3 linked regions of the Ovis aries genome follow. The protein of the gene in region 3 interacts with the protein of the main gene of each other region in a pairwise test. Links are inferred from orthologs where the notes say so. Each region holds a gene or a part of one and is shown on either strand. Other genes may lie near its edges. The genes, in order: CCND3, TRIB3 and ATF5.

Region 1 (6,757 bases), on a different chromosome or scaffold from region 3:
TCCCCTTGGGGGGACACTGGGGTGGGGGGCTGAAATAGAGCACCCCACTCCACCTCTCTGGCTGAAACCCAGTGCTTAGTGTCTTTGAGTCTCAGGGGGAGAAGTGGAGGTCAAGGCAGACAGGATGGGTCCAGGTGATGATCCCTGAGGGACCAAACCATCTCTCCATCAGTCCCAGCCTCCCTACTACTGCTGGGTCCTGGAAGGAGACTGGGAGCCCCACCCAGTCCACTCCTCTGAGGTTCCCAGCCCTGGCCCTATTTCTGAGTTGCACACAGGAGGATTTCTTCATTGTCTTATCTCAGGAAGGAACTCACGGGTTTGACCCTTCATGGGGTAGAAATGGCAACCCCACCCAATCTCTTTTCGGCCCTCTGTCACAGCTGCCCCTCTCCTGGCCCCCACCTAGGTGTCATGATCTTCAGCCTCTCACAAAGCCTCACAGAAATCAGCCTGGCCTGGAGCCAGAAGAAGTTGAGCAGAGAATTTAGCATTCTACTCCCTGTGCTTATTCCAGGGGTCAAACTCCTAACTCAGAAGTCAACAAAAAGCATCCAGGATCCAAGGAAACATCTGGAAGGCAGCTCGGAGTGGGGACGCATAGGGTCCTGCGTTGGGGGAAGGTGGCCACCTTACCCTCCATCTGGGCAGAGTATCTCCTGAGAATCTCAGTCCTCACATGACAGAGAACACACCCCTAGCAGCTTCCATCAAAACCCTAACCTCTGAGGCCACCTGAGGCCTCAAACACACCCTCCGTGCAGCACCAAGCCAGGACCCTTCCTTCCTCCTCTGGGCCCCCACCTTCTTTGCGGCACAAGGATTATTTGGACTGACCGGAGCTCTCTGATGTCCCTTCCAACTCTGACCTTCTAGGAAGTCATCGATCGGCACGCTCCACCCCCAGCTCAGGCAGGGGGAGTGGGAGGAGAGGACTTTTGGCCTGTTCTGAAAAACTGCCCTCACATAAAGGCACACATCCCATGCTCATCTTTTCACAAAAATGAAGTCCCCTTCCACCAGCCCAAACTCCTTCAGAAACATCTTGCTCTCTAGCCCTGGAAACCAGCTCCACCTTCAGACTTGCCCCAAACTACCAGATTCATCACAAAGAGCTGTGGAGCCTCCCAGATTCCCAGCTCTGGCCTCCTACTCCCATATCCGAGAGCTACTTGGCAGGAAGAGGAATCCCGTTCCCCGACAAGCAGCACTCAGGGGCCCCAGTACCCTGGCTTTCCTGGCCAGCCAATCACAGCAGCCAGCACGCTGCCCTCCTCCCCGGGAGATGGGGCCCAGAGACGCCTCTCGGGTCAAGAGAAGACTCGACTGCTGTAGAGCAAGATGGAGGAAGGTGCCAGCTCACCCCTCTCCCCTGGGTCCCCCGAGAGATGATCTGCACGCTCCCAAATAACCTCTTCCAAATCCAAGCAACTCCCCACCTCCTCTCCAGGCTCAATGGGGAAAGAGAACCATGACTCCCCTGCCCTGCCTCGGGAAGAGCCCAGCCCAAGTTCCCAGCAAGAGGCCCAGGGAGCCACTTCCCAAACCACAGGAGTGACAGCAGCTCCCCACAGGGTTATGAAAGACCTTGGTCAGGGTGGGTGGGCCAGGGGAGAGGGCATCATTATCACATCGGAAGCAGCTGCAGTTCAGCCCCAGTCTGTGCCTCAGCACTTGCCTTTGGCTAAAGGGGAAAAGATGATTCCACCAGGCCTGAAGCAGCTGCTTCTGAGAGCAATTTCTCAGGGTGAGACTAGGGAATGGAGAATGAGGGAAGGAGCTGGTTCTCCTGGGATATAAAAGGAAGGAAGGAAGCAAAGTGGGATGGAACTCCTCGGCCCTTCCTTACAGCAGCTGGGGCCTGGCTTTAATCAGCTCTGGGAGACTTTTTGATCACAAAGTCCACACACTGGGAGACAAGATTCAACCCGGGCGGCCCCTTCCCCCACGTGAAGCACGTTCCACTCCCCCACTCCAGTGGGGGTGCACAGGCATGCCCTGCTGCTGCCAATAAATAACTCCTGGTGGCTGTGTAAACCCAGAGGCAAAGTTCTGGTGAGTGTAGACATGCAGTTTGACTTGTTGCTATCTGGGGGAAAGACCATGAAGGAGTGGCACCCCCTGGAGGTCAAGACAGGGGATCTGGTTCATGCTGGGAGTGCAAGCCTGAACTGGGGCCACCCTGACCATCACACCACACTGTCCCATCTTTTGTCAAAAGAAAAAGAAAAAAAGCTGCTACCCTGCACAGGGGCAGAAAGCCTCCCGAGGTCTCAGCTTCCCCCATCCTGGTACGTTAGGAAGGAGGCAGGGGGTGCTGGCAGGTGGGGAGGGTATGCACGCACCCGCAGCTGGCGCGGGGAGACAGAATGGTCGGTGTAGATGCACAGCTTCTCGATGGTCAGGGGCGTTGTCTCGCGCAGCTTGGAGGCCAGCAGCATGCAGACCGCACCCAGGAGCTGCAACTGCGCCTTTCGGGTGGGGACGCAGGACAGGTAGCGATCCAGGTAGTTCATGGCCAGGGGGAAGACTTCCTCTTCACAGCGCTGCTCCTCACACACCTGGGGGAGGGCGCACAGTCACTTCGGGGGCAGAGGCTTAGGAAACGCAGCAGCAACTAAAGGCGAGGGGTGCGGTGCGCTGAAGGGAAGTGGAATGGGGAGCAAGACACGGGAGGGGGTAGGTGTACTCACAGTGACAAGGACTAACACGCAGGATGCGCCTTCCCCAAGGTGACACCCTCCCACTTCCTCTGCGGTGCCTCCTTTCCCCGGGGGTGGGAGTGGGGGGGGGGGGCGGAGCGGGATACGCCAGAGGCTCCCTTCCTTCAGGAATCCAAACTGAGGCTGATCTGCACCCCCCGTACCAAGGGAGAGGGGTTCGGAAGAGTCACCCATAGAAGCCAGAGAACTGGGACCTTACCCCCATTACTGCCACCCAGTGCACACACCCAAAAGGAAGGGAGGAGACTCCAGCGGCTGCCTCCCGCACTTTCCATTTCCCTGACGGCCGGAACAGCGCGCCACCCCCACCGGCTTCCCCGCCAGAACCCCCGCGACACACACAAGGAACCAGCTCTGCGGCGGGGGCGGCCGAGCCCAGGGTTTTCCAGGCGCGCTCTCCAGAGAAGACCGGGCGTGCGGTGGGGGCGGGGGGAGGCTTTTGAGAGAAGTCAGAGGGGAGAGGGTGGCCCTCGCCCCGCTTTCCCCGCCCGAAGACAGGGTTATTTGGGGGTGCCAAATGCCTGGCGGTCAGGGTCAGAGAAGGGCAAGAAAAAGACAGCACCGAGGCAGCCGGCTAAGGGCGCGCGAGTGAAAAGTCCAGGCCCCGGGGATCTGCGCCACAGAAACATCTTGCTGATTGTTGCTGAGGACCAGGATGTCCCGACAGGGCGGCCCCGGGATGTCCGGAGCCCGGGACGCGGGGGTGACGGGGGAGGGGAGACCCGCCCAGGCGGTACCTCCAGCATCCAGTACGCCAGCATCTTCCGCATGTGCGGCTTGATCTCCCTCTGCACACACTGGAAGTAAGAGGCGCGGGGCACGTAGCGCTCCTCCAGGCGGAGCAAGCTCTGCAGGACACGCTGGTCCCCTAGCAGCCGCGGGTCCGGCCCGGCCCGGGGCGCGTGCCGAGTGCCCTCGCAGCACAGCAGCTCCATCCTCGGGCAGCGCGCGGGCAGGGCGGGAGTGCGGGCTCGGGAGCCAGAACGCAGGCGGCGGGCCGGAGAGCGCGGGGCGCGGGACTGTGGCGCTGTCGCTGGCACTGCGCGGCCGAGCCTCAGCCCGCCCCCGCCGCCGCGCGCGCGCCGCTTCCCTGACAGGCGCCCCGCCCCTCGAGACCGAGTAGCAACCGTGGAATGCTCAGACGTCGCGACGCTCCGGGGGCGGGGCCTCCGGCGCCCGGACGGAAAGGGCTGGCGGGCGCTCCCCCTCCCCCGGGCGACCGCATTGGTCGGCTGGGCGCGGGCCGCCGGCTTCCGGGCGCTCCGGATCCTTTTGACCACCCGGTGCTAGAGGAGTGTGCTTTGGAGGTGGGCCTCTCCTCGCCCCCCGCCCCCACCTCCGAGCCCTTCCATTTTTGCATCTCCCGACTCCAGGCGCCCCGAAAGGTTATTCATTCATTCGTCAAACTCTACTTCACCCGCTGCTTGCTCTAGGAAAAGTAAATAATAATAAAATAGCTAGATCTTAGGGGAGACTGGTCTGAGCACTTATTAAAATCTTAATGAAGAAGCTGTGGGTTAGGTCTTATACTGATTTTGCAGTTGAGGAAACTGAAGCAGTAACTATAATAATAGTTCGTCTGCGGCAGAGCTAGGATTGGGAAGCCGACGGTCTGCCCCCAGAATCTCTGCTCTACCCCGTGGCTACTTAAACTGATCCCCGAACCAGCCTGAGAGCGGGTCAGAAAAGCAGAACCTCAGGCCCATCCCCTGACCTACTGGATCAAAATCTGCCTTTAACCAGATCCCTGGTGATTCCTGTACACACTAAAGTGTGAGAAGAGACAGTCCTAAATCCGCACGCTTGAGAACTACAACAGGGCGGAAGGGTCATGGATTCAAGGCCTCACCTTGTCTGTCATTAAGTTGGGTGTGTGGCCTTGGACAAACCCTGACGTTGGCCTTAGTTTCCGTTTGAGGAAATGATGGGCGGAGAAACTGCCTCCTTTCTAGAGGAGTTTCTTGCTCAGATTGTATAAAATCTTTCAGGCGCCACTTTTACCTCCCAAGCTTTGGGACTTTGCAGCGTTTCCAGAGCTGGATTCCGCGTGACCAGGAGGCAAACACACCACAAGCCTCCAGTAATGCTCCAAATGGCAGGAGGCCATGGGGATCCCTGCCTTTCCTGGGGTCCTCCAAGGAGGTGAGACACTAAGGAAGTTAATTACTAGAGAAATGACACTCTATAGAAAGAGGTCAGTCCTGCGCTAAGCATTATCCCAGTGAATTGTTCTTTTTTATACAATAAATTTTTTGCTGTTTGCATATCACGGAAATATTCAATGCATTGTAGAAGACAGAAAATACCAATGTCACACAAAAAAGTAAAGAGTAAGTACTGGCAGTTTCACCATCCAGATTGTTGTCCTTCAGTCACTAAGTCATATCCAACTCTTTGAGACCCCATGGACTGCAGCATGCCAGGCTTCCCTGTCCTTCACCATCTCCCAGAGCTTGCTCAAACTCATGTCCATTGAGTCAGTGATGCCATCCAACCATCTCATCCTCTGTTGTCCCCTTCTCCTCCAGCCCTTAGTCTTTCCCAGCATCAGGGCCTTTTCCAATGAGTTGGCGCATTGCATCAGTTGGCCAGATAACCCTTTAAAATGACAATGTTTATTTTTCTAAAATTGTTCTATGAATAAACATATTTTTAAGAATGACATCATTGCGAACTATTTTGTAAACTTTTTTTTTTTCACGAAAAAGTATACTGTCAGCACTTTTCCATCTCATTAAATATTCTATAACTTTTTAAATAACTACCTAGTAAACCATTGAGTGAATATATCGTAATGTATTTCACCAAAGCTGTATTATTGGAAATCTAGGTAGTTTCTAGTTCCTCCCTATTAGAAATAATACTGTAAAATATTTTTGTGGTAATATTTTTGTGCACACTCATGATTATTTCTAGAAGTGAATTAATTTCTAGAAGTGAAATTTCTCAATCTGAAGTTATGAAACATTCTAAGGCTTTTGATACAGTTCTTATTACCAAATTTCCCTGCTGAAAGGCTGAACCAAACTAATGAACAAACATTAGATATCTACTTAAAAAAAAAAACAACTACCAACTGGCGAGATGAAAAGTGGTTTATTAGTAATGTGTATAAATTTTTAAATTCAAGAGTTCTTGTTGTATCAGTGTGAATGTGGGCTGTGTACCTTCTCTGATCTTGTAAGTCTTCTATTCCTGTCTTCAAAAATACAAGCAAGAAGTTTCTTGAGCTAACTAATCATTGCATTGCACGCTTTTGTTAAAGAGAACAGTGTATTTAAAATTATAAAAATTAGATATGACGTTAAGGGGAGGCAAACATGTTGAAGCGTACAGGGCTTTTAGGGTGCAGAAGGGCTAAAAATGTAGCTTTTGAAGTTAGTACATAACCAAAAACCAGTTCTGTCCTGGATGTTTTTTTACTTTCAGAATTATTGAGTAGGACTGTTCTGTTAAGATGGTGCATCTTTGATGAGAGAGTAAATCATTTTTTTTCTCCATAAGTATACTATTATTTCCCTCCATTTTACAGAAAGGGAAACCAGTACTTTAAAGTGGCTAAATAATTTGCCCAAGGTCACAAAGCTAAAGTGGTCGAGGCTAGATACAATCTAGTGAGTCTGGCTGGAGAATCCATGCTCTTAACTACTTCATTCCGCTACCTCTTGTGCTGATCTATGAGTGCAAATTGATTTATTAGTTGTTGGTTTAGTGAGGAAGGCGGACAGAAACTACCCAGTCCTGGAAGCTTGGGAGTGAGCCTACATCCTGGGGAAGGGGGATCCTGGTAAGCCGGGCATTTTGAAGGATACCTCTGCCTCGCCCTTGACTAGGACTGACATGCCCAGAGCAGAGTCATCCAGGACCTCTGGCCAAGGTCAGCTACAAGCTGGCTGGCTGTCCTCCATGGAGGCCGGTGAGCTCAGTGCTGGGCCAGGGCAGAGGAGTTCCTGGAGGGTTGGCTGATCTGCCTGGGAACTTTACCAAGCACCTCCATCTCAAAGGAACAGGGGCTCCCCTCATTATTCATAAAA
Region 2 (5,957 bases), on a different chromosome or scaffold from region 3:
GCCTCTGACCTTTCACCCTGAAGCTGGTTTCAGATGCACGAAAAACTCATAAGAGATGGGGAGGAGAAGATGGATGAAATATCCAAGAGAGATGACAGCATTTCATAATTTCTTTATGAGGCACAAGATAAAAAATACACACTCATGGCATATAAACCCATAGTGTTAAAGTAGGGTCCTGAACCTGAGACTTTCCAGGAGGCCAGGGGACAAAACTTGCCTGGCCTTGGTGCTTGGTCCACAGAGGTGGACAGGCCTGGACCCTCACTCCAAATTACTCTTTCAGTAAGATGAGGACCAGCCTCACAGTTTGCACTCCTGATCTTCCAGCCCAAATCCTTCACTCAAGCCTGGATGGAGAAGCCCTTGGCCAAGAGGACAGAGCTGCTGGGAGGACAATTCCCAGGCTGGTCTGGGTTCTAGGGTCCTGAATCACAGGGGAGAGGCCTGGAGCCTTTGGCACAGGGATGCTTCCATTCCTCTGAAAAGGCATGAGATACAAAGGCAGCTGGGTTGTTTGTGACAGGGTCTGTCCCACGTCAGAGGTGCCTGGGCATCAGCACGAGTCGATGCCAACCCCTGCACTGTGGGTGCTCAGTGTAGACACTGACTCATGGGCATGGAAAGTATTGTCAGCTCTGAGCAGGACTTTGTCTCTGTCATTCACTGCTGTGTTCCCAGCATCCAGAACAGGGCTTGGCACAAGGAGCTCCTGAGGAGGACTCAGTGGGGCATGAGCTCATCTGCACAGGTGTGTGTGTCCAGCATGCTCTGCACACACCTCCTTCTCTCTCCCTCCCAGAAGGCACTTAAGGTTTGGCTCAGCTCAAAGAGGCAGAAGAGAGCTTAGAGATACCCCAGACTCAACCCGCTGTCTGCAGCTGAGAGTCCAGTTTGGTGACATCAGCCATAGAGACCCATCTCTCTTTCTCCCTCCTCCTCTGCTTCCTCCAGCCCCGGCCCTTCAGGGACCACCTGGTCAGCCTCACAGTGGCGGGACCGAGGTGGGGCTGCAGGGATGGCATTCTCCCGCAGCCAAGGGTGCAGCAGGATACCCGAGGCCGTGAGCCGCTCAGTTGGCTCCCTTCGGAGGAGACAGCGGACCAGGCAGCGGGCGGGGGCCGAGAGGCCCTCAGGCAGGGCAAAGGCGCCACGGCGGATCTTGCCAAAGAGCAGGGCAGGCTCTGAGTCCTGGAAGGGGTAGCGGCCGGCCAGCATGGTAAAGAGTGCCACACCCAGGCTCCAGACATCTGCCGCCTTGCCTGAGTAGGATGCTCGGGAACTGAGGATCTCAGGGCCTACATAGGCTGGGCATGCGTGTTTGTCCCACAGGGAGTCGTCAGGCCCAGTCAGCACACAGGCATCTTCCAGGTTCTCCAGCACCAGTTTCGTCCTACACGGGCAGAGAGACAGGGAGTCAGCTAGTGGGACACCCCTCCTTCTACCACCCCACATTTCCACCTGAGTGGCACACAGTTCCCCAATACCAGCTGGCATTTGTCAGACATGAGTCAGTCCTGTGAGGCTGGTTGGCTGATCTCATTTTACAGATGAGGAAATCTAGGCTCAGAGAGGTTTATTCATTTCTCAAGGTCACACAGCAATTAAATCTGAACTAGGACTCTGAGAGGAACACATTTTTCCAAATGTCTCTGGGGTCAAATTCAGGTTCTACTTGTTAACTTGCAATTTGGCCTTGAGCGATGGCTTCACTTGCCTGAAACTTGACTTGGGGGCTGGGGAAGTGGGGCTGTGCTGAGGGGCTGAGGGCATTAAAACTCTCTGAAGCCAGATGCAAACTTGGGGTCTAGGCAGGAAACAAAATAAGAAACAGGAAGTGGGGACTGTGCTAACCGTCTCAGCACAAACCTACAGTTAATATTTGGGAGTGTCCACAGCGTACCTCACCCTGAGCTAAGGCTGTATCTATCACACCTCATTTCACCCTCATGCAGCCTGTGAGGAAGATGCCATTTTGCAGCCAAAGGAGCAGGACTGAGACTGAACCTTGGCTCTCTCCTGCCCAGAGCCAGGGCTACAAGCGGCTCATATGGTTCCCAGGGTGCCTCCATGGAACCCCTTTTCCACAAAAGAACCCAGAAATCATATTTTAAAGAAAAAAAAAACAGGTTTTAAAAAGTTGGCAACCAATTTCAATTAAAAACACAAACAAACATGACCCATATTGATGTATGGCAGAAACCAACACCACTGTAATTATCCTTCAACTAAAAAGAAAGAAAGAAAGAAAGAAAAGGAAACAAGCAAAAAACAAAACAAAAAAACCCACAAATGAACAGGTATGGGATGCAAAGGAAAAAAAAAAGTGTGTGTGGACCAACCTTAGCAACTTCTGCTTTAAATAACTCCCACAGAGTGCTCTAGATTACTTTAATAGTAAGCATAGCATTGCCATTGCTACTAATCTTATTCCTGTGGCACTACTTCCTGGGTGCTGGTCTGAAAATGCTGACCAGTCCTGTCAATCACTGCACTGAGGGTGAGCAGAGATGACAGCATTATTGGCCCATTTTACAGATAAAGAAGTCAAGGCTCAGGCAGATGAAGCTATTGCTCAAGGCAAAACTGCAGGTTAAAGAAGTAGAGCCAGAATTTGGCCCCAGGATGATTCCATTATCTATCATTTACTGATGGTGCTTCTCAAACTTTTGCCTTGAAAAGGAAAGAAAGCACTTTTCTCACTTCTGGGAGGTCTGGGGGTGTTGTACTCACCTTAAGCTTGAAATTATTTGAAAAGCTGCATATTAGCTTAAAAATCATTATAAAACTTACATTCTAATTGTTACTCAAAGCATGGTCATTTTAGTATAAAATGTAAAAGGAAATACCATCTTTAAAAGGAAAAACCACCTTCACGGACTTCCCTGGTGGTCTAGTGGCTAAGACTCCACGCTCCCAATGCAGGGGGCCCAGAGTTCAATCCCTAATCAGGGAACTAGATCACACATGTTGCAACTAAGACTCGGTGCAGCCAGATAAATAGTAAAATTTTTAAAAAGAAAAGAAAACCACCCTTAGGCAAATATCATAAGCGTAGCTGCTATAGAATGGATGGCAGGTGAAATTAGTGGGCAAAAGTGTGAGCAGAAACAGGATATTCACACATAAAGCCTTAAAAACCCTCAAGGTTTTTAATAACAATGACAAAAAATTACCCAAGGTACACAAAGGGTAAATTAGGAGCCTTCCAATAGACAACTTGGCAGAAGCCACTGGAACCAAAGACCAAGGTTAACATCTCAGTAGTTCCCCTCAACAGCATGAATCTCCTGATAGAACCGGCTGAGAAGGCCCCATGGCTTCTGTGGTATTCTTGCCAAAAAATGCATCACCTCAATCTAAGCGTGACCAGAACATCAGTCAAGGCCAAACTGAGGGGCCTCCTCGGCCGCCACACTCACCTCTCCCGGTCGGTGAAGACGAAGCGCCGTAGCTTGAGGTCGCGGAGGACCAGCCCGTGCTGGTGGCAGTGCGCCAGGGCGGCGGCCATCTGGCGGAAGAGCGCGGCGGCCTCGGGCTCCGGGAGGCGACGCCGGCGGCGCACCAGGCTGTGCATGTCCCCGTGCGGCCGCGGGAAGAAGGCGTAGAGGTGCTGCGTGCCGGCCAGGACCTCCGCCGGCCGGGCCACGTGGCCGTGATGGGGCAGCCTCCGATAGGGCTCCAGCACCGCCAGGCTCTCGCAGGCCGGGTACACCTGTGGGCAGAGCGTGGTGTGAGCATGGGTGGGGACTCCAGGGGGCAGGCAGCAGGGGCCGGCCTTGCAGCAGGTCACAGCCCATCCCTTAGGCACTACTGTGGGCTGGGCCCTGTGCCCAGCGCTTCCACTGCATGTCACTCAATACTGACCAAGCTGAGGGCTGCCTGACCAGCAAGGAGCAGAGCTAGGATTTAAATCCCTGTTCTCCATCATCTGTGCTCTTAGCTACAAGCTCATGTGCTCTTAAACTTGAGATAATTCAAAAAGATATCAGGTAACCAGAACAAAAGTAACTAAAACAAGAGGAATCTGGAAGAGCAGACAATACAGAAGTAACGTTAAGTCCTCATCATCCATCGTGGCTACCATTCTCTAGCATTCACTTCCCACCCACCCTTTCCTTCATCCCACAAGCAGGCATTGAATGCCCACCTGTGCCTGCCGCTGGGACTATAACTTGACTGACAGCCACAGTCCCTGCCCTCCTGGTGCCCACAGTCCAATACATGAGACAGTTAAACAGGCCAAAAAACTAAATACTTACAAATTCTGATGAGCATTGCAAAGGAATGCTGGAATCAAGAATATTTTGGCAGGAGACACCTATTTTAGAAAGTATAGTCCAGAAGGGACTCTGGGGAAGTGACCTGAGTGACTGAGATGCCCAAGGAGTAAGCTTTCCGGGTGGGAGGCACAGGCAGTGCCAAGGCCCTGAAGTAGGAAAGAAACTGAGCTGCTCCAGAAACCCAGCCAAAGCTCAGTGTGGCTGGAATGTGAAGGAAGGTGGGGCCTGTGGTGAGCATGGTGAAGTTATGGGGAAAGATGCTAGGGGCTTATGGACATTAGATGGAAGCCATTCCATAGTCCTGAAAGGATGTTCAGAGGATGGTGACTTGGAAGCCACATGGCTCATCACTGGCAGAGCAGTCTATGCACTTTGGTTTATCTGCCTTTAAACCCTTTGCTTGTCATTTTGTCTAGGACATATAGCCAATAAAAATAAATAAAGCATATACACATTTAATCCATGAAAAGATGTAAGTACATGTCTTAAAGCAATTGGGGTGGCTTTGAGTAGACAATTCACAGACGGAGACTTTTTTAAAAATCAGAGAGGCAAGCGCATCCCTGCCTCTGAGCATTTACACTTGCTTTTCCTGCTACCTGAGCATTCTCCTCTAGATACCCACAGGGCTGGCTCCCCCAGTTCAAGACACTATTCAAGTCACCTCCTCCAAGGTGGACTTCCCACCTAAGATCACCTGCACCTTCTCCCCTTCCCTCTCCCCTTTCTCCTAGCTCCTAGTTTTTCTCTGTAGCAGTTAAGATCACCTGATACATGTGTTACTTATTCACCTGCAGCATGAACTGTGGTGGCACAGCTTGGCCCACTTTTTAGCCATATGTGGTGCATATTGCATGATGCACGGAGTATACAAGTGCTCACTGAGGGTTTGTTGAATTAATGAATAAGGCGATAGCCTAGAAAGACAGGATGTTGATCTTTCTACATGCCGACCAGAAAAGCCTAGGCAATGTGGAAACAGAAGGTCAGCTCCCACAGTTCACGCTGGGTGTACGGACAGGCACTCCTAGTAGATTGCCCTAAATGTTCCTGGGTATCTGGGGTCATGTGAAAGCTTCTGACTTCAGCTTGCCATGGTCATGCCTTTCAGTATGGACCAGAAAAAACCTGTGATGCTACAGGAAGGGGACCCAGAGTTCATGGGTTCCCTAGAACACCTGGGGTAGACCTCGGAACCTGCATCAAGCGGCCAGAGCCCAGGTAAGCTGGTGTCTGATGTCCAGATGTGGCCCCGCCCACTGCACCCCCATGAGCAGGAACAGGAGCCACTGCTGCTTCTTCCCCTCATCCCCCAGCCAACTGGATGGAGGCGTCAGTCCCCCTGCCTGTCTGTGCCTTCCCAAGGAGTCCTAGCTCCCTTCCGCCCCTCCCTGTGTACCTGGGTCTCCCCTATCCTCCTTACCTCTGCCCGCCAGAGCAAACCTGCCCTGCTTGTATCTGAACCACCTGTCCTAGCATGAGGTCCAAGGCTCTGGGTTGAACCTGCCTTGGCCCAATTTCAGCTCTGACACCTCCTGGCTTTGTGAGGTGGCAAGTAACCCCGGGGCTTCCTGGGTGGCTCAGACAGTAAAGAACCTGCCTGCAATGCAGGAGACCTAGGTTTGATCCCTGGGTTGGGAAGATCCCCTGTAGGAGGGAGTGGCTACCCGCTCC
Region 3 (6,757 bases):
GCCCCCTACAGCCCGAAGCCCTCGCCGGGCTAGCTGTTTCTGGTCCTCTGGCTGCGAGCCTTGTACACTTCGATGAGCAGATCCTTGACGTACTGGATCTCCCGCTCCACCGACTCCGCCCTCTCCCTCAACTCCCGGTTCCGCGCCTCCAGCCCCTGGCACTCGCCCTCCAGGGCCTCGCCCTCTGCACGCTTCCTCTGGCGGTACCTCAGAGCCGCGGACTTGTTCTGGTCTCGCTTCTTCTGCTTGCGGTCCCCTCGGCTGGCAGCAGGACTTGGGTAGGGGGCGGGGCGGGGTGGGGGCGGGGCTTGCGGAGGTTGGGGCGGGGGCGCCAATCCCGAGTCCCCCTGCCCAGCCTCACTGCGGCAGTAGATGGCCAGCAAGTCGAGGGTGTCCAGGGAAGGGGGCTGGGGGAGGTCAAAGGTGGGCAGGGGGAGGGGGAGAGGGAGGGAACATGCCGGTGCCGGCGGCGGCGGCGGCGGCGGCAGTGGCGGCAGAGGTGGGGAGGATGGTGGGAGCAGAGGGGCATCGAGGAAGTAGTCTTCCATCTGCTCCAGCTCCTTCTTGAGCAGGGAGGCCATAGCTTCCAGGTCAGGTGGGGGTGGGGAAGGTGGGGGGAGGGCACCTGAGGGCAAGGGGGGCTCCAGAGGGAGCAGGGCTGTAAAGTCGACCCGTTCGGTCATCCAGTCAGAGAAGCCGTCTCCTGGAGGATTGCAGGACAGAAAGCTCCTTGATTTCCTAATCCTCCACCCAACCAGATCTCACTCATGCCCACCTCATTCATCACATTCATTGAGTTAAACCACCAGCCAGCCAACCAACCAATCAACAAATCATCAAACCAGTCAACAGACCAGCCAACCAACCAACCAATAAACCAAACATCTAACCAACCCGTTAACCAACCATCAATGACCCAAATGAGAAAACAGTCAACCAGCCATTTCTTCAACTGTTCCAACATCCTCCTTACTGATTACCCTGCATCTCTGGTTTCTTGATTTACTCTCTAGTTTATTATAAATGGCAAACTAGATCACATGTAAACACACCCTGTTTCATCTTTAATTATTGAAACCCCACTATGTGCCAAGCATTTGGGATACACTTCCCTCATAGCTCAGTTGGTAAAGAATCTGCCTGCAATGCAGGAGACCCAGGTTTCATTCCTGGGTCGGGAAGATCCCCTGGAGGAGGAAATGGCAACCTGCTCCAGTATTCTTGCCTGGAAAATCCAATGGACAGAGGAGCCTGGTGGGCTACAGTTCATGCGGTCGCAAGAGTCAGACACAACTTAGCGACTAAATCACCACCAGTGAATAAAATGGGCTTCCCAGGTGGTGCTAGAAGTTAAGAACCCACCTGCCAATGCAGGAAATGTAAGAGATGCAAGTTTGATCCCTGGGTCATGAGTATCTCCTGGAGGAGGGCATGGCAACCCACTCGTATTCTCGCCTGGAGAATACCATGCACAGAGAGAGGAGCCTGGTGGGCTAGAGTCCATAGCCACGATCTGGCGACTTAGCACCCAAGCACGCAATGAATAAAATACTTCCTGCTTCAGGGGCTCTGCCTGTGCTGTTTCCTGCACCTGAAAAGCTCTTCCTTTGGGTCTTTTTATGGGTTGTTCCTTATCATTCCTTAGGTCTCAGCCAAAATGTTACTGGCTTGGAGAGGGTTTCTTGGCTCCCCCCGCCAAACGTGTCCTCGTTGTCATTTTTATTTTTTTTTCTCATTGCCATTTTTAAACTCAGCTAAGTGTTTCCCACTTATTCCCATACATCATTTAATTTGTCTCCTGCATGTCTTCCCAGTAGAGTGTGAGCTCCAAGGAGGCAAGGATCATGTCAGTCTTGTTCCCAGCTGTATCCCCTAAAACAGTGCCTGACATATTATGCTGTTGTCGTTACTTAGTTGTTCAACTTTTCAAGCCATGTCCAACTTTTTGTGACCCCATATACTGTAGCCTACCAGGCTCCTCTATCCATGGGATTCTCCAGGCTGGAGTGGGTTGCCACTTCCTCCTCCAGGCTTTTTTCCCAACCCAGGGATTGAACCTATGTCTCCTGTGTCCCTCGAATTGCAGGTGGATTCTTGACCTGCTGAGCCATTGGGGAAGCCCTATTACAGGTACTCATTAAAAAATATTTATCAGATGAATGAATTCTTTCTTCTCCCTCTCCCCCCAGCTCACCCCACCTCCATTCTTCACCTACTCTTACCTGCCAGGGGCTCTCCCCCCCCTGGAAGCCCGCCCTCCAGGGCTCCCCCAAGGACCTCATAGGGGCCCAGGGGGGCAGGGGCCAGGGGGAGTTTCCCATAGTCTACGAGCCAGCCCAGCCCGCTAGCTGGGAGCAGGGTCCTGTCCAGCTCCAGCCCCAGGGTCGCCAGGAGTGACATGGCTGCAGCAGGGGCGCTGGGCACCGATGGCAATGGAAGAGGCTGCACCAACAGCTGGGAGGAGGCTCTGGAGGTTGCTCAGCTGGGCGAAGACAGGCACTAAGGCAAAAATGGAGGACCTACAAGTGTGACAAAAATGTGAGTGGGTCAGGATCAGCCTCACCTACTATTGCCAAAGCCACAGGGAAATCAAGCCACCTCCCCAGAGTCCCAGGACTCCTCATCCTTTCAGAATTCTAAACCTGTCCTTTTCCTGTATCTGAGCCCCACCCACTCCCAAGGGAATTCTCTTTACATTTGGCTTATTTCTCAGAATTCCCAAGACCCAATCCTTCCAAAACAGAAACCTAATGGTCTCCCAGGGGAATTTCCTTAAAGTCCTTCCCACTCACCCCAAATATTCCCTTTCATTTAAAAAAAAAAAAAAAAAAAAACAACCCACACTCAATCCCTGGGGAATTTTCTTCCAGTTACATCTCTTCCTCTAAAATATAGCTTTTAGGCCCCACACCCTCCCTAGATTCCAACTCAAATCTGTTCCCATGGGAATTCCCCCTTTTCCCGCCCGGTCGTCAAAGTTATCCGTTCAAATCGCAGTTCTCCCTTTAAATTTTGGGGCTGATCGCCACTCTCTCTCAAAGTCCCGCCCCCACGGTACATTTTAGCTCCACCCCTCCCCGATGATTCCCCAGAGGCCCCGCCTCTTTCTCAGGCAGAAACCCCACCTCCCTCAGCAAAAGGTTTCGTCAGCCCCGCCCCTTCCACAATGGGTAACCCCGCCCCCAACCCCGTCCTCGGAGACGCCTCTTATCCTAGCTCCTTCCCCTCTACAGGTCGTTTCTAATCCCCGCCTTCTCCCCTGTCAATCTAAACCAGTCCCCGCCCCAGCAGGCGCCTGAATGAAAGGGAGGGAAGATAAGCTCGGCGCCTGAGCAAAGTGGGAGGCGGCTCTCTCGTTGAAGGCTACAGCGCATGCGCCATCTCCCGAGCGGTGCCGTAGCCACCGCCCTCCTGGGGGCCAGTGAGCATGTGCTGCTGCTTAATGCCCGCCCTTAGAGCAAAAAATACAGCCTCAGGTGGGCAGCTGCGCATGAGCAATTGCTCGCAGACAGTCAGGGCGGGGGTGTGGGGAAGCCACCGCGTCTGGGAACTAGTGCGCAGGCGCACACGCACGTGGCTATCCTCTTTAAACACCAATTGTCCGGAAGAACGCACCCGCCCGAGTGCGCATGCTCCGTCGCGCGAGAACGCTCGTCTTCCCTCTTCTGCGCCTGCGCGACCGTGATTCCTCAGTCTCCCCACCCCCCCGGGCTCGGTCGCGAGGGCCGCGAGCTTCGAAAGGGCGGGAAAGGCGGTTGGAGAGGGAGGGGCGAGCGGTTACTCACTCCATGGCTGCGCAAAGGAGAGGCGGCGGCGGCCTCGGCTGAAGGGAGACGGCAGGAGCGGAGAGCGCAGGCGCGGTGAGCGCGGAGACTGGCCGGGGGCACAGAGGGGTCGCGGCTACAGAGCCATGGCCGGGGGTATGCGGGCAGAGGCGGCGTGGCGGTAGAGTGAGGAGAGACCGTGATCTGAGGATGGGGAATGAGGTGGCCCCGGGGACTGGACACAGATATACCGCGGGCGGCGCAGCACGGCCTGCGCGGATCCTTCCGCGCCCCGCCCCACGTGGCCCCAACGCGGAGGCGGGCCTGCACCCCTGCCCTCGGGGATCTGATCCCGGCTTTCGATCCCGGGGGTCCAGGCCTCTCCTTCCTCTTACTCGTGGATCTAGCCCCGCTTTTCTCCCGACTCCGGGGGTTCCGACCCTCCCTTCTCTCTGACTCTGGGTTCCGGCCCTCTGCTCCCTCTGATTCTGGTGACTCGATAATCCGTCTTCCCCGAGACTCCGGCCGGTTCATTTCTCCTTTGCTTTCCCCTGCTTCGCGAATTTCCGGCCAGCCACATGCTACTCTCCTCATCCTTCAACTGCCGTCCCACTCTGAGAACCTTTCCTGTGGCTTAGAACCTGGCGTGAGTCACAGAGCGCGCTCCAGTCAAATCCCAGGCCGGCGAAGGTGGCCTTGGGCAAAAGACCTGAATTCTCTAGCAGCCTAGACAGGAGACTATCTGTAAAACGCGGAGAATAATCAGTTGTACCTGGTGGGGTCATTTGTCAGAATCAAATGAGTCGTTGCCTGTGAAACTGAGATCCCACTTCGTACATGCTCTCTCAACCTCTTACTGTGAGTAGGAAGGAACCCTGGGGCTCGGTGTCACCCCTTCCGACCCCCCTGGCAGGAACCCCAGACGCTAGACCATCCAACACTTGCTAAAAGGTCATCCTTGTGTCTCTTTTACCTCCTCCAAGGTAATTCCCAGCCATCCCCCCCCTTTCCCATTCATAACATGGACGCTCGGCCCCATCTTGGTGCAGCGAGTCAGTTATCACCCTCAGGCTTGTTATCTTTTCTCTGTCTCCTGCCCACCTACCCTCAACGCTTATCCTCAGCATTCCTTTCAGGTCAGTTGGTTCCTTCTTTTGTCCATACCCTCCACCTAAGCTCCCTTTCAGACTGTCCTCTACCTCAGCTCCCCCGACCCCACCATCAATCGTGCAGGTCTGCCAGAAATAGGAAGATCTGTAATCCATTGCTCAAAGAGATGGGACTTCCTAACCATCCCCTCCCGGTAGGCTGGACCCTCCCAGCCCAAGTGGTTGTGGGTCTTTCCTGTGCTGCAGAAACCCATCCTCCGTTCGTCCACAGCAGGACATTACACCTGGAGTTGAGCTTTTCCTGGTGCTTATGAGACTGAATCAAGATCCTGAGAAGACAAGGGACCTTGATCTTCAGAGTTATCTGAGAATGAAGACAGGCTTTTTTTTCTTCCTCTAAGTTCAGATGCTCTTTTTTTTTTTTTCCTTCCAGATTTATTGGGCTATGATTGACATGTAGCACTGGGTAAGCTTAAGGCGTACAGCATAGTGATTTGATTGAACATACCTCATAAATTGATTAGTAAGTGTAGTGAACATTATCTCCTACAGATAGAAAGCTGAAGAAATAGAAAGAAATACATCCTGTTTTCCTTGTGATGAGAACTCTTAGGATTTACTCTTGTAACAGCTTTCATACACAACATATGGTGGTATTAATGAGGTTTATTGTATATTGCATCCCTAATACAGGCTACTCTTGCATACTGGAAGTCCTTCTTGGGATCTGACCACATTCCCTTCACTTTATCCACTCTGCCAGTATTTGAGCTCTTGCCCTATAGGGGCTGTTTTTTACTGAGGCAACAGAGTAACGGTTAAGAGCACAGACTCTGGAGCCAAGTTGTTGGATTCAACCCCTGACTACACCCCACTTAACTAGCTTACTGGCAATTTCCCTTCCAAGTGCCTTGCTTTCCTTAATAGTTCTAGAATCAAATATGGAGTTGAGTTAGTAGAAACATGCTGATGGCCAATGTATGTGGCCATTGACAGTACCTATTTTTTAGTATTGAGGATTAAATGAATTGATCCAGGTCAGGTGCCCTTGGACTAGTGCCTGGCACAGAGTAAGGTGTTACATAAGGGATTCATTGTTACTATTAAGGTGGATATGGTTTATCTCTAGTGCCCAGCAGTAGTGCTTCTAAAGGTCTTTAAAGTAAGGACTGACTGCCACTCCTCAGTGTTGAGTACTAGCGTGTGGGATTAGGGGGGACCATTGGACAGGCTGCTGGCAGTGGGGGCACAGTCATCCCCCAGTCTTCTAGATTATAACTGGTGGACTAGGTAGAGTATTTTTCTTTAACTTTTTGTTTTGGAATAACTAGATTGACTACAAAGCTGCAAAGACAATACAGAGAGTTCCCGGGGAACCCCTCACACAGCCTCCCTGCTTCCCGTGGGCATCTTGTATTATACTGGTGTTTGTCACAACTCGGGAGGCAATGTCAGTCTGTTTCTGTGACCTACCCCCTCGCCCACCCTATCTTCCCCCCAGGAAGCCGGGTTACACTTAGTTTTCATGTCTCCTCAGCAACCTCTGGTCTGTGGAGGCTTTTCAGACTTTTGTCACCTGTGACTTTGATATTTTTGAAGAGTGCAGGTTAGGTATTCTGTGAACTGTTCCTCTTTGGTTTTGTCTCATAGACTGGGACTTGGAGAAGGAAATGGCCACCCACTCCAGTATTCTTGCCTAGAGAATCCTGTGGATGGAGGAGCTTGGTGGGCTGCTGTCCGTACCGTCGCACAGAGTGGGACACGACTGAAGCGACTTAGCAGCAGCAGCAGCATAGATTGGGACTATGGGGTTTTGAGAGGATGGTCAGGTTAGACAGTTAATAACTTGAGAATGAACTTAGTATGGAATTCTTGCTACCAGTT

Evidence for each region.
Region 1: the proteins of ATF5 (region 3) and CCND3 interact in a two-hybrid assay, tested with the Homo sapiens proteins (2 studies listed by BioGRID and IntAct). The link is inferred for Ovis aries from reciprocal best matches to the Homo sapiens genes ATF5 and CCND3.
Region 2: the proteins of ATF5 (region 3) and TRIB3 interact in a two-hybrid assay, tested with the Homo sapiens proteins (2 studies listed by BioGRID and IntAct). The link is inferred for Ovis aries from reciprocal best matches to the Homo sapiens genes ATF5 and TRIB3.

What each region holds. Positions count from the first base shown.
Region 1 is NC_056073.1:15,736,173-15,742,929, forward strand, and holds the start of CCND3 (G1/S-specific cyclin-D3), read right to left. Parts: upstream 3,659-6,757; coding exon 3,461-3,658; intron 2,562-3,460; coding exon 2,346-2,561; intron 1-2,345. UniProt on the Homo sapiens protein: Regulatory component of the cyclin D3-CDK4 (DC) complex that phosphorylates and inhibits members of the retinoblastoma (RB) protein family including RB1 and regulates the cell-cycle during G(1)/S transition.
Region 2 is NC_056066.1:60,298,867-60,304,823, forward strand, and holds the end of TRIB3 (tribbles homolog 3), read right to left. Parts: intron 3,716-5,957; coding exon 3,423-3,715; intron 1,394-3,422; coding exon 904-1,393; 3' UTR 93-903; downstream 1-92. UniProt on the Homo sapiens protein: Inactive protein kinase which acts as a regulator of the integrated stress response (ISR), a process for adaptation to various stress. Inhibits the transcriptional activity of DDIT3/CHOP and is involved in DDIT3/CHOP-dependent cell death during ER stress.
Region 3 is NC_056067.1:55,999,354-56,006,110, reverse strand, and holds the start of ATF5 (cyclic AMP-dependent transcription factor ATF-5), read right to left. Parts: upstream 3,984-6,757; 5' UTR 3,786-3,983; exon of another isoform or gene 3,780-3,785; intron 2,520-3,779; 5' UTR 2,401-2,519; coding exon 2,223-2,400; intron 704-2,222; coding exon 30-703; 3' UTR 1-29.